Linked DNA regions of Cricetulus griseus. The protein of the gene in region 1 purifies or fractionates together with the protein of each later gene. This does not show direct contact. Links are inferred from orthologs where the notes say so. Each region holds a gene or a part of one and is shown in the gene's direction. Other genes may lie near its edges. The genes, in order: Sox9 and Fbxw7.

Evidence for each region.
Region 2: the proteins of Sox9 (region 1) and Fbxw7 purify together in Homo sapiens (affinity purification with western blotting; 4 studies listed by BioGRID and IntAct, with this or other methods). This does not show direct contact. The link is inferred for Cricetulus griseus from reciprocal best matches to the Homo sapiens genes SOX9 and FBXW7.

The regions. Positions count from the first base shown.
Region 1 is NC_048600.1:125,500,867-125,505,330, forward strand, and holds Sox9 (transcription factor SOX-9), read left to right. Parts: upstream 1-1,511; coding exon 1,512-1,942; intron 1,943-2,723; coding exon 2,724-2,977; intron 2,978-3,560; coding exon 3,561-4,405; downstream 4,406-4,464. UniProt on the Homo sapiens protein: Transcription factor that plays a key role in chondrocytes differentiation and skeletal development.
Region 2 is NW_023276806.1:69,439,503-69,443,315, reverse strand, and holds part of Fbxw7 (F-box/WD repeat-containing protein 7), read left to right. Parts: intron 1-1,261; coding exon 1,262-1,443; intron 1,444-3,189; coding exon 3,190-3,415; intron 3,416-3,813. UniProt on the Homo sapiens protein: Substrate recognition component of a SCF (SKP1-CUL1-F-box protein) E3 ubiquitin-protein ligase complex which mediates the ubiquitination and subsequent proteasomal degradation of target proteins.

The DNA.
Region 1 (4,464 bases):
GTCTAAAGGGACACGACTAAAGTCCAGACGCCTAGCGCTGTGCCCTCCCAGATAAAGGAAGGCCCAAATGAGAGAGTCGCAGGACTCCGCCAAACTGCCTGTTTTGTCTGAAGTTTTCCAGTCCAAGTCACGGGCCTCCTGGGCCTCGCTGCCCGAGCTGCCACCTTTGCAAACTTCACCCTCAACGCCGGAGCAGTTTTGCAAACTCCGGTGGTGACCAAGCTGACGTTTGTGACTCACTCAGACAGGAGGCAAGAAGCAAAACTCTAAAGTAATAACCCTAACACCGAGGGGCGTCCGAGTGCTGGAGGGGCCGGGAAAAGGACTTGTCAGTCCAAGGTCGGCGTGGCCCACGGGACCCGCCAAGAGAACCAGGGACTGCCGGGTCGCCGCCAGCCTTCGCTGGCACTCAGCTTTGGTTTTCATTGATTCCCACTGCGAGAGCGCTGCAGAATCTCCAGCCACCACACCAGCCTCGGAGAACCAGAGCGCGTTAATCTATTTATATGGATTATTACAGAAGAACAGCGGGCGTTGAGTCACCCAAACATTTGCTTCCAAAAGACCATTTCTAAGCACTTTTGGAAGCGGCAGGCTCCGGGCGCAGAAGCCGAGCGAGCGAGCTCCGCGTTGAGGCGCGGCTGTTGCAGTTTCCACTGCAGTAAACGCCAGCGAAGCCCCGGGTACCGCGGAGACAGCTTGGAAAAGTAGTGGGGTGTGTGTGTTGGGGGGGGGGCGTCCTAGTCTAGACACGCGCGCGCGCGTGCACACACACACACACACACACACACACACACACACACACACCTATTCACACTGAGACGGTTCCAAAACTGTGACATTCCTAGAGTAGAGAGCAAACTTACACACTCGGACGTCCCGGATCCCCCGCCTGCCCCGCGGTGCCCCCCCCCCAAAGTCCCCTCACCCCACCATCCACCACCCCCACCCCCCGGCTGCGCTCCCCTCCCTTCTCCACCCCTCGTGTCTCGTCACCCAACCCGGAGCCACAATCCTCCTCCCCCTTCTCCAAAATGCGGTCCAATCAGCTACTTGCCAACCCTGATGACTGCGGAGCCGCGATTGGTCGGAGGTCTCTAAGGTGAAGGGGGAGTATTTATTAAAGAGACCCTGGGCTGGGAGTCGGAGAGCCGTGAGCGCTGCTCGGAACTGCCTGGAAACTTCAGTGGGACGACAACTTTACCAATTTCAGTCCAGGGACTTTTCTTTGCAAGAGAGACCGGGTGCAAGTGGCCCCGCTTACGTTCTCTGTCTTCCCTCCCTTCTCCTCCTCTCCGATTCGCCTTCCCCGGGTTTGGAGCGGGCAGCTGAGCAGCGGCCACCTAGCCAGTGCCTCTGCTAAGTGCCCACCGCTGCCTCCCGGTGACGCGCCAACCTCCCCGGGAGCCGCTCGCTCGGCGTCCGCGTCCGGGCAGCAGAGGGAAGAGGAGCCCCAGCCGCCGCGGCTTCTCGCCTTTCCCAGCCACCCGCCCCCTGCCCCGGGCTCGCGTATGAATCTCCTGGACCCCTTCATGAAGATGACCGACGAGCAGGAAAAGGGCCTGTCCGGCGCTCCCAGCCCCACCATGTCCGAGGACTCGGCTGGCTCGCCCTGCCCCTCGGGCTCGGGCTCCGACACGGAGAACACGCGGCCCCAGGAGAATACGTTCCCCAAGGGCGAGCCGGATCTGAAGAAGGAGAGCGAAGAAGACAAGTTTCCCGTGTGCATCCGCGAGGCAGTCAGCCAGGTGCTGAAGGGCTACGACTGGACGCTGGTGCCCATGCCGGTACGCGTCAACGGCTCCAGCAAGAACAAGCCACATGTCAAGCGGCCCATGAACGCCTTTATGGTGTGGGCTCAGGCTGCGCGCAGGAAACTGGCAGACCAGTACCCGCATCTGCACAATGCGGAGCTCAGCAAGACCCTGGGCAAACTCTGGAGGTGAGCGCGCTTGATCATCGGGTGGGCTCGGTGGCTACTGGGATGGGGGGCTGCACTCACCCAACCCGGCCCGCCTCCCAGAGCCAAGGAGTTGCCTCCTGTAATCTCTGAGGAGTCGGGATGCGCAGTTGGGGCGGATAGGGGAGGTTGGCTCAGAGTTTGAGAAAGTTCTGGGGATTGCTCTTGGCCAAGGCGCGCGGGGGGGGGGGGGGGGGGAGTTGAGCCGCACCAATGTGATTGCTTTTAAGAACCAATGGGGGGAGTGGAGGGGTGTGCCAACCTGGTCCCCTCGAAAGGAACAATTTGAGGAAACACACACACACACCAAGCTGCTCTCTCCTGGGAAGAAGGGATAAAGGGAAAGTTGGGCTGGAGGTGACCCAGGCAGGAATTAGGGAAAAGCTACTGAGAATCGGTAGGGGCGTGGACGGACTCAGTGAGCTTCTTGCGTTGTAAGTGGGTTTTCAGAAAGGTTTTACAGGGTGTTGGGAGGGGGTGGACCGCTCCGGTAGCAAAGGCGTTTAGAGCGCCTCGGCAGGGAGCTGTTTTCATCTTCAGGGTTTCCAAAATAGGAGGCCAGGGGAGGGGGCGGGGCGAAGAGTGACCGTTCAGGTCGACTCCAAGCACTTAGAAGAAAGAAAGGAAAGTTCTGAGCCTCGGTGGAGGATGGCAAGCAGAATAGAGGGAGGAGGGGAAGTGCGCGAAGGAGGGGTGGGGACATGACCGCTCCTGGGGTTTCACTGATCCCCCTCTCCCTCTTTTCTTCCGCCCCTCTTCCCAGACTGCTGAACGAGAGCGAGAAGAGACCCTTCGTGGAAGAGGCAGAGCGGCTGCGCGTACAGCACAAGAAAGACCACCCGGATTACAAGTACCAGCCACGGCGGAGAAAGTCCGTGAAGAACGGGCAGGCAGAAGCCGAGGAGGCCACGGAACAGACTCACATCTCTCCTAACGCCATCTTCAAGGCGCTGCAAGCCGACTCCCCGCACTCCTCCTCCGGGATGAGCGAGGTGCACTCCCCGGGAGAGCACTCCGGTAAGTAAAGGGCAAGAGATCTACTAGGCCTAGCCACTCTGGGCCCCACCGGGCACACCCTTAACACCCCCTCCCCCATTCCCCAGGATCTGGGTGGGGACTTTGAGGTCCCTGGGGTGGGGAAACAGCATTCCCTGCACTCCCTCTCTGTCCAGGACCCACCGAAATAGACGGGCGCACCACACACACACACACACACACCACACACGCCCCTCAACCTGTGATTCCTGAACTGGATTCTTTATTGCAAGGTAACATGTATTAATGACTTCACGAAACTTGCCCACTTTTCTCTTTGCGGCTCACCCCCAAAGCACACACTCTTCAACAGGTAGCAATTTAGCCTTCCGGACCCTTGGGACCTCAGACCACTCCGCTGATAAAAGGAGCTTGCCTAGTGTGTACCTGCGGGTTAATCATTCGGCGACTTATCGTTAGTACAGCCCGCCTTCTGCTCCGGCTCGGGTCCTAATGACACCTTAGCAACCAGGGAGATTCCCCGGGGGACTCCTAAGACCAGAGGTTTTGCACAGCCCTTGTTGATTTTTTACGGTTTGTCTTTCTTCCCTTTTATTGCCTGCAGGGCAATCTCAGGGTCCACCGACCCCACCCACCACTCCCAAAACCGACGTGCAAGCTGGCAAAGTTGACCTGAAGCGAGAGGGGCGCCCTCTGGCAGAGGGGGGCAGACAGCCCCCCATTGACTTCCGCGACGTGGACATCGGTGAGCTGAGCAGCGACGTCATCTCCAACATCGAGACCTTTGACGTCACTGAGTTTGACCAATACTTGCCGCCCAACGGCCACCCAGGGGTGCCGGCCACCCACGGCCAGGTCACCTACACCGGCAGCTACGGCATAAGCAGCACCGCCGCCACCCCTGCGACCGCGGGCCACGTGTGGCTGTCAAAGCAGCAGGCGCCGCCCCCTCCCCCGCAGCAGCCCCCGCAGGCCTCGCAAGCCCCGCAGGCGCCTCCGCAGCAGCAGCAGGCACCCCCGCAGCAGCAGCAGGCACCCCCGCAGCAGCAGCAGGCACACACGCTCACTACACTGAGCAGCGAGCCGGGCCAGTCCCAGAGAACACACATCAAGACGGAGCAGCTGAGCCCCAGCCACTACAGCGAGCAGCAGCAGCCCTCCCCGCAGCAGATCGCCTACAGTCCCTTCAACCTTCCGCACTACAGCCCCTCCTACCCGCCCATCACGCGCTCGCAGTACGACTACACAGACCACCAGAACTCCGGCTCCTACTACAGCCACGCGGCCGGCCAGGGCTCGGGGCTCTACTCCACATTCACCTACATGAACCCCGCGCAGCGCCCCATGTACACCCCCATCGCTGACACCTCGGGAGTCCCTTCCATCCCGCAAACCCACAGCCCGCAGCACTGGGAACAACCGGTCTACACACAGCTCACCAGACCCTGAGGAGCCCTTGAAGAGGGATGGAGAGGGAGCTGATCATTAAAAAAGAAACAGCTGAAGAA
Region 2 (3,813 bases), on another chromosome or scaffold:
TGTCACTTTGGCATGGTGGCAGTGGTGTTTTCTTCATTTAAATAGTTTGTTGTCTTTTTCCTTAGATATTCTAAGATTTCTCAGATGCCCCTCTTCTCTGAGCTTCCGTCTCACCTTTCCCATCATGGCTCCCTAACGTCTTCCAAAATATGACTGAGTGATTTGTAATTTTCCTTGTAGACTGCTTTGTTGCTGAGCTATCTATAATTTAGAAATCAAGTAAATCCTGTTAATCTAAAGTTGTCTCAGACTTGAATGGTAAGGAAATGAAGCAGGGGAGGTTTTAAATACTGGGTTGAAGAGCCAAGCAGTAGCTTTATTTCACATAGCATTCCTTAATGAGTCGCTAGTGAATATTGACTTTATCTGTCCAAAGGAGAATTTTTTTTATGAATTAAGTAATCAATCATTTAAAAGGTAAAAGAAGACAGTATGTTTTAAAAAAAAATGTCTTTCGCTGTGTTGTTCCTTGGACAAGACTCTTATAAATACCCAAAGCAGATGTTAAAATTTTCAGAGCAGCTACACGTTTCCAGGATATAATACTAGTTTTGGACTTATCTCAGAGTCTCAGTGTCTGTCTTTACATGTCTAGAGTAGCATGGCCAGCCCCTAACTACTGCCTTAAGGCAGACGGATGCACTGTGGTATGTGGCCACACCCAACTCTCTTGGCATTCTTGCCTTGGTTCTCCTCCATGGGAGGCACCCTTTTGCAGTTTTAATATTATTTAATCATAGTGGTCAGGCTAGAGCTGTTGAACTTGCTTGTATTACATTATGTTTGCTTTCTGCCATGTCTTATGCTTTGTATCAAATGATTCTTCTTAAATTTCTTTACTTCATTTTATTATTTTGTGTTTGTGTGTGTGTACCACATACATGCCAGGTGCCCTCAGAGACCAGAAGAGGGCATCAGATTCCCTGGCATTGGAGTTATAGGTGGTTGTAAGGCACTAGGTGCTGGGACTCAAACCCCAGGTCCCTGAAAGAGCAGCTGGCGCTCTTAGCCACTGAACCATCATCTCTCCAGTCCTGTCTGTTTCATATCATGTTTGCTATGCATGCATAAGCATATACTGCTACAAAATAAACAATTCGGTAATAATGGTGTCATGTAGCATCGATGTGTAGATGCTTTCCTGGTGATCTAATAAAGTTGAATATGTAAGACTTTATTCCAGATTCTAATGAGATGTTAGTATATTTTTTGACTTGCTTTCATTTCTACCTAAAATTAATCATCTGAAGTGTTTTTTCAGTGTCTAAGAACATTAGTGGGACACACAGGTGGAGTATGGTCATCACAGATGAGAGACAATATCATCATTAGTGGATCCACTGACCGGACTCTCAAAGTATGGAATGCTGAGACTGGAGAGTGTATACATACTTTATATGGGCACACTTCCACTGTACGCTGTATGCATCTCCATGAAAAAAGGTAAAGGAAATCCCATTATGATGGGGACTTTCACGTCTGTTACTTGTGAATTTGAGATTCAAATAGTGCTAATGAGCTCCAAAAGTTGATACTAATGATTACAGTGCAATATTCCTTAGTTAGTAAAATCAGGTTATATTGGCTTAAAATTGGAGGATTGTCTTAAAATTTTCTTTTTCATTCAATGACTGTACAATCATTTTTCTTGACGCTCAGCTCTCTAATCCCCTTTGTTGTTCGTTTGGTGACTCATCATCTTCAAAAAAATCATTTTCTTTCTTGACAGTCATATGTAGGAGCAACAAATTCAGTCACTTCGACATTAGCCTGAATCCTTGAGTGACCCACCCACTTTGCCCCCACTCCATCATGTCCCTAGATCTGAACAAACACTGAGGTCCAGGGCTTTCACTTATTTTCTCATTACCTGTCATCTGAACTATGCAGAGATCTCAGGTCCTGACTTTTGCACAGCTGGCAGAGAGCTCTGGTATTAGGATTGTTTCAGCCACGTCTGGCCTGCTAGTCCATTCTTTCCTGGTGCCTCTGCCTGGTGCTTTGTATCTTACCTGCAGTGTCTTCTGCTACAATCATGTCCTTCTGTTGACACATCTTCATTGCACCTAGCTAAAAAATTGTGTTTTCTACTTCATTTGTCAAAAAATATTCTTTTGGCCTGATATGAGAACATGCTGCTAATCTTTGCACTGGAAAGATAGAGACAGGAGAATCCTTGAAGTCACAGCTTTTTAGAGGAGACCCTTCCTCTAAAAGAATGTATCTTAGAAGAATCATTATAACGAGTTCACAGCAGAGCAGCCATGACCTGTAACTCTGTCCATGCTGCTTTATCTATTAAGAACTGTTTTGGTAAGTAGGCTGTACCCTGCAGGTGTGATATATATACAGGGACTCCTTTTTACTTTCAATTTGAACCACTTTGCACAGTGTGTTGTGTGATTAAAATTTAAGGGATGAGTTTCAAGAGACCTTGCATTTCCATGTTGGTTGCATTCATTTTCCCACACTTAATCATTCCACTCTTCCAAATACAGAGACTGACTTTTATCTCTTGGGAATGTGACATAAAGGTACCTGGTTAGCAATCCAGAGGTAACTGCATGGTTGTATCACTCCTCTTTTTAGAACAGTATAATTTTATAACATTGAGCCAATTTCTGTTACTTCTATAGGAATATCTTTAAAAATCTGTATCAGCACATATCTGAAACCGCATTCCCTGCATGGGAAGTATAAGAAAACAGCCCTAGTTTTCTGAGACCCAAATTAAATGTAAAATTTTTTTTTTGAAAAATAATCATATTGAAAAGTTTACTTTCTCAAATAGGTAATAGGAGTTCATAATTGAAATGTAATGGAAGGACAAAGATATTAAAAACAGTTCTGGATTGTTCTAAGTTTAATACCACCTAATTCTGCATTGAGGGTTGAGCTGCGTGTACCATGCTACCATTTCACTTCTAATCAAGATAAATTGTATGTATGGAGAGCTGCTTGCTTCTTGAATAGGGTGAGGTTGTTTCCTTAAGTCATGGACTTCTAGTCTTCCTCACTTCCCATTCCAGGCAGAGTAACTTGAATTTATATCTGAAGGCATTAGGGTAGTGATTCTTGTTAAAGTGTTTCTGTTCTGTTTATGAAGAGAAAGCGAACACTGTTTTGCAGGCTATGTGCATTTGTGCTCTTCAGAATTCTAATACCTTGTTTTCTGTTTCCTCTCTGCAGAGTTGTTAGCGGTTCTCGAGATGCCACTCTTAGGGTTTGGGATATTGAGACTGGCCAGTGTTTACATGTCTTGATGGGTCATGTAGCAGCGGTCCGCTGTGTACAATATGATGGCAGGAGGGTTGTTAGTGGAGCATATGATTTTATGGTGAAGGTGTGGGACCCAGAGACTGAGACCTGTCTACACACGTTGCAGGGACACACTAATAGAGTCTATTCATTACAGGTAAGAAGCTGTCTCACCCATCCACACCCCTAGATGCTCTGGTGATGACTCATAAGATTTTTCTTTTCAGCTAGTTACCGTCAAGTTGCTGTTTATATATACCTTAAAATTACCATGAAGAAAACAATAAATTTCAAAATCATTTAGCTGATTTAATGGCTTCGATTTCTATGATCCATTTTCTCTTTAAAATGCAAATATTTGTCTTAAAACCTGATACTTCAGGGCTGTAAATTTTGCCACATTAATTAATAGATAATCTCATAGGAGAATAACTTGGATCTTAATAAACTCCTTAGCTGAGGATTAATTTGGCCAAAAGCTGCCCCTTTGCCTTGATAACTAAAAGTTGATGGGCCGTGTAATTGTGATTCTATCCCCATTTAAAGTAGCCGTGG